Ovis aries: one gene and its partner. The protein of the gene in region 1 purifies or fractionates together with the protein of each later gene. This does not show direct contact. Links are inferred from orthologs where the notes say so. Each region holds a gene or a part of one and is shown on either strand. Other genes may lie near its edges. The genes, in order: STRIP2 and PPP2CB.

The links.
Region 2: the proteins of STRIP2 (region 1) and PPP2CB purify together in Homo sapiens (affinity purification with mass spectrometry; 3 studies listed by BioGRID and IntAct, counting the BioPlex papers as one, with this or other methods). This does not show direct contact. The link is inferred for Ovis aries from reciprocal best matches to the Homo sapiens genes STRIP2 and PPP2CB.

What each region holds. Positions count from the first base shown.
Region 1 is NC_056057.1:95,043,864-95,047,680, reverse strand, and holds part of STRIP2 (striatin-interacting protein 2), read right to left. Parts: intron 2,949-3,817; coding exon 2,745-2,948; intron 1,519-2,744; coding exon 1,283-1,518; intron 1,031-1,282; coding exon 965-1,030; intron 285-964; coding exon 221-284; intron 1-220. UniProt on the Homo sapiens protein: Plays a role in the regulation of cell morphology and cytoskeletal organization. Required in the control of cell shape. Calmodulin-binding scaffolding protein which is the center of the striatin-interacting phosphatase and kinase (STRIPAK) complexes.
Region 2 is NC_056079.1:26,053,321-26,057,137, reverse strand, and holds part of PPP2CB (serine/threonine-protein phosphatase 2A catalytic subunit beta isoform), read left to right. Parts: intron 1-3,185; coding exon 3,186-3,395; intron 3,396-3,817.

The DNA of each region.
Region 1 (3,817 bases):
ACTTTTTCATCCATCTAAATGTAGGACACTGGATAGGTAGGTAGAGACCTGACTTTTTAAAATCTGTTTGGCCAAAACCCTTGCAGAGGAAATACAGAATAACAGGTTTAGAACATGGCTAGTGGAAGAGCCCCACCCAGGACCCAGGACCCTACTGGGGGTCATTCAATTTGTATTGATGGGTCCCTATCTCTGAAGACTGACAGCCCAACCTACTTACCTGCTTGAGGGTCTTCACACTCTCGTGGATGGGCCTGGGTAATCCAACCAAAGTATCTGTATCCCTGTGAACACAAGATATATAAAGGTCAGAAGTACAGAGAACTACCGATACTCCTGGAGTCATGTGGACCAGGCCACTTTCACCATCTGGTCGCCTGGATCTTTCTCTGCAAGTTATCAGGTCCCTCATTGCTTCAGGACACAAAAAGAACAACGGTACAGAGAAGAGCCTCTGTAACTTAGGATTTCTGTATAGTCTAGTGGGGACTCACTTTGTCTGGGAGTAGGTTCCTATTTTAAAGGGCACGTTGCCCAACAACACTTTTGACAGCAAAACAGCAGGAAGAATAGCTTCTGAGGTTTTGCAGTGACCGGTGGGGATTCACAAGGGTAGGGAAATGGGGAAAGACTGGATCTGTTCCCACCATGTTGCTTCTTCACAGAATTCTCTAGGAAAAGAGCCTGTAGGGATCATCTCATAACACTCTGATGAGGAAACTGATTCCCATAGGGAAATGACTTGATCAACATCCTATATCCTATACCTGGCTGAGAACATAAAAGTTCTAGGAAACTGGAAGGAAAAAACTAGATGGCAAGAACCCAAAGCAGTCACTGGGAGCTGCCCAAGGCTCTGGGTTGTATCACCATGATTAGGCAACATCTCTCATTCCAAGCCACCCACTCCTCTGCCCCCCAAGAACCCCTCTATATAGCCAATTCTGACCATCCAGTCACTTACTGCCCCAGAGTGAATCCGATGAACTTGTTCCTACTCATCTCCAAGAAGTGCTCAATGTCCTTCTGTCTGAGAGGATGGTGGACAGACAAATCCCAGAGAAGGGAAGAATAGCAAACCTTGAGAGAGAGAACCTTACTGGGCTCCCACCCCTCCAGATGGAAAACTGGAACAGCAAGGGAAGCCAATAAAGGGAACTCCCCACCCAGGAGTTCCAACTCACAGCCCAGCTTACTGAGCCTTGAATACACAGACCACTCCACCCTCAGCCTCCAGTGACTGGAACCCCAAAGCCCAGGGTTCTGGTGTTATCAAGCCTACCTGACCTTTGGGGTCCAAGGTAGGCCCTTGGGAAAGGCCACACGCTCAGCAGAGAGGGGTGCCTGTGAGGGTGGAGGGGGTACTAGAGGGTCCTGCTCTAGCAGGTCTAACTCTCCATCCAAAGTGCGTTCTCCATCGCTGGCAGATTCCTCTTCCTCCTCTGTGGCTGGTTCTTCAGTCTTAAAGAGATCTCTTTCATTGTAGATGTCCAAGCTGTCCTGCTTAGTAAGGAGTTGCTGGGGGGCGAGGAGGGTGGGTAGAAGGAGAGAGGGAAGGTGTCCAGAAATCTCAGTCTGGGCATCCTTGTCTGAGACTACCCACTACCCCCAGGCTGCTGACTTCAGGGAACATGGAGTAAGAACCCACCCCTAGTGAGAACTTTTTCTTCCCATCTCAACCCTACTGTCCCCACCAGGCCCAATTCCAGGACAAGCAGCTCTCTCAAGCAACCACATCTATGGCTGGGAGACAGAGCACAGATAATCCCAAAGTCACACTTAGGTTTCAGAAAACACTGATGCTTTTTTTTGCCTGCACTTTCCTTCCTAATTATGCTCCACTTAGGTGAACATTCAATTAATTTGCCTTCTGTGAGCATACACCAGCTGGCTGACTGAGGAAGAGGAGAATGGGAGCTTGCTGCTAGGCAGAGGGAATCGAGTTTGGAATTTTAAATCTTGTCACAGAAAGACAAAAAAGACTGGGCAGAAATAGGCCAAAAAGTTAACAGTGACTGCTTCTGGTTGTTAAGATTGTGGGTGACTTTTTTTTCTCTCCCTTTCCACACTTTTATATTTGTTCTAAATTTTCTATAATGAGTAAGCATTATTTTGTCAAACAAAAAATAAAGGTTAAAAAAATATCACACTGCAGATAATGTAGACTAGATTACTGAGTGTGACTGTCCGGACCCGTCACCTGTAGTTGGTGACGTCAGTTATATCAGGCAGGCGAGTTCTTGGGAGTATAGTCAGGTCTCAGCGCAAGTTGTACCTGTGACCTTTCTAGGGACGCAGACTATCTAGACCCCTAACCAGTCATCTTTAAATGTAAGCCTCTCGTTTCACGGCCAGAGAAGAGCACGGCGGGCTCAGAGTAAAACTTCTTACTGAGAAGAAAATGACAAAGTGCCTCTACCAGGTACCTATGGCCAAGATTTTACCCCAACTGTTGTTTGGCACACTAGGGAACTCCAGGCACTGAGGTCTAGGTCAATGATCCTTAGTAAGACGTGGATCTATGAAGTGATATCACAGTATGACATCTTGACAGCCAGGACCCCATCAGGGCTTGGGGACAGAAGCCAAAGTATAGTCTCCAAGATTTCAGGTTGGTCACAGGGCTGGTCAGGGGTAGGACAGCAGAGTCATTTGCTGTTCTTTCCTAACATATCCAGAGCTGCTTAGAATCTCGATTTTTGGCCAGCTGGTGTCACAACACCACTGTCTGCTTTAGTCCATACCCTTCGAGAACCATGGCGGCCTCGCAGTTTGGAGGGTGGAGGTGCCAGCTGAGACTCCCCCAGGTCGAGGGTGTAGGAGGGCGGGGAGGCAGCCCGCATGCTCTTCACCACCTGGATACTGTCCTCCGCCAGTGGAGGAAGGCCCAGTTCCGCCCGCTTCTGTACTTTGAGAGCCTGCAGATGCTCAAATCCACCGAGGGTAAACTGAGATTTGAACAGGAAAGGGGCAGAAAAGAGAGGAAGAAGTCAGAAGGCAAGGTCAGGGAAGTGTGGATGGAGAGAATAGTCACAACCTCCAGTCCCCGAGACCCCCTCCTTAATTAGGAAGTAATACAACAGAAGGCAAAAAGAATGTGGTAACTGGGCCCAGTCTCAGAGGTGGCCACTATCCCTTAGAGCTGAGGGGTCAGGATAAAGTACTATTTACTGACCCAGGGCTGGATCCCCAGAAATTAGGAAAGGGACTACTGAAGGCCTCCACTGGGGGATAAAAACAGGAAAATGTACCCTCTTTCAAGGAATACATTTAGATACTATACACCCCTAAAGTCACTCAAGGCCTGCCCTAGGGGGTAGGTTGTTCAGCCAGTTCTGTGGGGAGGGAGCCAAAGAGGAAGAATCGGGTTGAATAATTAGTAACAAAACTGCAACCATACACTTACAAGGACTTTGTTTTATGAAAGCAAATCCTCTATCTGAACAGAGAGCAGGCAATAAACCCTCTATTTTACAGCTAGAGAAACCGAGACACAGAGCATCGCCCAAGGTTCCTCAGTATCAACAGAGGTCAGATCTCCCACCTCTCAGCCAGTGTCCTTTCCACGAAACATTAGCTCTATCAGGAAGAGGTGCAATAACACCCTACCTCAAAAAGTGGCATCTCCCATCAGTCCAAAAGAAAAAGGTGACCTGCCCCGAAACAGAACCTCTGATTTCTCCAGGACAGCCCTATTGCCTGTCCACTGGCTAACAGCTGCCCTGTTATTCTGCTTAGCTCCAGCCTCCTGGAATCAGACCAGAAAAAACTGTGGTGGCAGAAGGCACTGCCTATCTGATGAGACGGGAGAGGGAGA
Region 2 (3,817 bases), on another chromosome or scaffold:
TGATCGTCCTGGGTGTTCATTGGAAGGACTGATGTTGAATCTGAAACTCCAATACTTTGGCCACCTGATGCGAAGAGCTGACTCATTTGAAAAGACCCTGATGCTGGGAAAGACTGAAGGCAGGAGAAGGGACAACAGAGGATGAGATGGTTGGATGGCATCACTGACTCAATGGATATGAGTTTGAGTAAACTCCGGGAGTTGGTGATGGACAGGGAAGCCTGCCGAGCTGCGGGCCATGGGGTCGCAAAGAGTTGGACACGACTGAGTGACTGAACTGAACTGAACTATCAGTCTTCATGCATGTTCAGTCATGTCCAAATCTTTGCGCCCTCATGGATTGTAGCTTGCTAGGCTCCTCTGTTCATGGGATTTCCCAGCCAAGGATACTGAAGCAGGTTGTCATTTCCTCCTCCAGTGGATCTTCCCCACACAGGGATAGAATCTGAATCTCCTGTGTCTCCTGCATTGGCAGAAGGATTCTTTACCACTAATCCACCAGGGAAGCCCCTATCAGAGTCATAGAGAGAATCAAACTTTGAGTTCTAAGTCACATTAAAGAAACATTCATGAGAATTACGTGCAGAGTTACACAGTGTACAGAAAAGAGCTGGCATAGCAGCCCCGAGACCACTGTCTGTTTAAAAGCTGGGTGTCAAGGTTCTTGTTGGTGTCTGGAAACTTGGATTTGGGGAGGCTTTGCACCATTCCCTGTTGAGAATTGCTCACTGTGCCTAAACTGTTCATGCAAACAGTGTGATTTATGCTGGACATGTGGTTTTCTTTGGACGTCTAGTACTTTGGTACATCATAGAGGGACCAGCTCCCCGTCTGGGCTCCGAGGCTGAAGAGCTTCCCTGTAACGGGCAGGTTGCACACAGGCGTCAGGTGTGTCTGTGCAGCTCCGCCGGGAGAAGACTCCTGAAGCCTGCCCTTGATTTGCTCGGGGCCGTGCCTCTGCGCCTTTTCCTTTTGCTGATTGTGCTGTGTCTGTTTTTACTGTCGTAAGTCATAGCCGTGAGTACACCTGTGTGCTGAGTTCTCTGGGTCGTCTTTTGTGAATCACTAGCAAACCTGGGGCGCTTTTGGGGACCCCTGACACACAGGGGTTTGTACATTGAGAATTCCAGCTGTCTACAGGTGAACTGTAACTTCTGCCAAGCCAGCCCGCCCTTTGCTTGAAGGGACCCCAGAGTGATTGCAAAATAAGAGCACTTTACAGTAAAGGGTGTGAGCTATAAATCATTTAGAAACATGAGGGATCTGTACCATAAAGATAAAAATTTGTCTGGCCTGATGAAGTACTTCAGCGCTATGTAGATAAAAGCTCAGGAAGTATTGCTGTTAATGTAAAGCAAACACACACTGTGAATCATGTCTCTTAACTCATCTTCATAGTTGTTTAAAACCTGTGCTGGGTTAAGATAACCACATGGCCTTAAAAGAACAGTTGAATTGGATAATATTTACATTTTGGTGCTTTTTATTTCCATGTTTAAAATAAGGTACTGAAGATAGTGTTTGTATGTGAAGGAGATTTCCTGTTTAGATTTGGAACCATCAGCTGAATGTTGAGGGTTTTTCCCAATAATAATAAATATAAGACATCAGGTCCAGGCACTTCCTTCATGGTCCAGTGGTTGACCACTTTCCAATGCAGGGGACATGGGTTTGATCCCTGGTTGAGGAACTAAGATCCCACATGCTCTGGGGTAACTCAGCCTGTGCACCACAAAGAGCGGGAACAGCCAAAAAAAAAAAACCAAAATAGACATCAGGTCCAACTGAACTCCAATTTATGTTCCTCAGTTTGATTTGTTTTTCTTGAACAAAATTAGGAAGCTATTTTTATGGACTAAACTTGATAAAAATGCCGTTTCATTTGTGAACTTGGACATTTCTGAGCCGTTTGTCAAACTTCCTAGGAGATACTTGATAATCTCTAAAATTCCCTTCAGTGCTAATTGGAATTACACCTTGCAGCAGCTCTGCCCTCCTCCTTGCCCCATCCCAGTGACTGACTGTGCAGCAGGGAGCTCATGTCTCAGTTGGTACATATACTTTTACCATATCTGCTCATTACTTCAGAGGATTTTTTCATTTACTTTCTGATTCTGGGCTCTTATTAGGAAAAGTTGTTAGATAAGTGAGGTGTCATGAACTTGAACTTAGTCAATATATTTAATTTGTCACTGTTTATATATAAATTCTGTACTTTAGGGCCTCCAAACAGTAACTTGAGTCATTAAATATAGAATAGTTGAAATAAAGTTGAAAGTTGTCCTATGAGTTGCTGTAAGGTGTTTGTGAAAGAATTTGAATAATTGTGACTTTTTCTTTAATATTGATATTTGTAACCTATAAATAATATTGTTCGTTTAAAAAAACCAGCTTTGAGGTGAAATTTCTATGCAAGTCAGTGATTGTGAGTGTTCACTTCACTGGCTTTTAGTACATTCGTAAATATGTGCATCCATCACTGCCCTATTAGAATATTTTCATTACCCCTAAAAGAAATCTCTTGCCCCTTAGTTATTACCCCTCAGCCCTACCTAGGCAGCCCTGATGTTCTATCTTTGTAGGTTTGTCTGTTCCAAACATTTCACATCAATGGAGTCATCCAGTATGACCATTTGTGACTGTCTTTCGCTTAGTATGTTTTCAAAGTTAACAGCGTGTAATCAGTCTTTCAGTGCTTTTATTATTGAATAATACTCCATTGAACAAATAATACCATTATTTATTCATTAGTTAGTGGGCTTTGGGGTGGTTTCCGCTTTTTGTCCATTGTGCGTAATGCTGCCATGAACATGTGTCAGCTGCAGTTTTCGCCTCTTGAGTCTCTGTCTAGGGATGGAATTGCTGGGTGACATGGTAGTTCTGTGTGTAGCACTGGGAGGACCTGCCGGACTATTTTCCACAGCAGGTGTACCGTTCTAGATTCCCACCAACACTGTGAACGTTCCCAGCTTCTCCACATCCTCAAAAACACTTGTAATTCTTTTGTATCGAGCCATCCTACGACGTGTACAGTCGTCTCTTCTTGTGGTTTTAGTTTTATGATTTTATAGTGCACATTTCAGTTGATTTTTTTCCTCCAGATTTTCTTAAATAGACAAGAAATGATGCCTTCAGATTTGTGAGAGAATCTTCTTTTTTAATTGTTGATTTCATTTCTTTAACAGGCTAAGGAAATTTTAACAAAAGAATCAAATGTACAAGAGGTCCGTTGTCCTGTCACCGTCTGTGGAGATGTGCATGGTCAATTCCATGATCTTATGGAGCTCTTCAGAATCGGTGGGAAGTCACCAGATACAAACTATCTGTTCATGGGTGACTATGTAGACAGAGGTTATTATTCTGTGGAGACTGTAACTCTTCTTGTGGCATTAAAGGTATGACTAATGAAATTCTTTTTTTTTTCCCAAGCTTTAAATCAGCAAAAGACAGAGTGGGCATTGCATATCATAATGTTCTAGTTTATGGTCCATTCATTTTATAGCCCCTTAAAATAATAGTTGATTTTACATCTTTTGGGAGAAAGATATGAAAATTATGCATTAAACTGCTCTTGCCTACTTCTGGTAAATTATTGCTATAGGTCGTAATCCGTAGCTGAAGTCTTAAAATCATTTTTAATCAACTTATCCCACATATATAGTTAATTGATACTCTATTTTTAAAATTCTTGCCTTGAGAAATCTGTTGTTTCTGTGTCTTTTCTATTTTTACTGTCGTTTAATGCATATCTTCTTCATGTCGCTTTAATTAGTACAGTAATGTGGTAACCTACATTTCTCTCTCCAAGACCTGACCT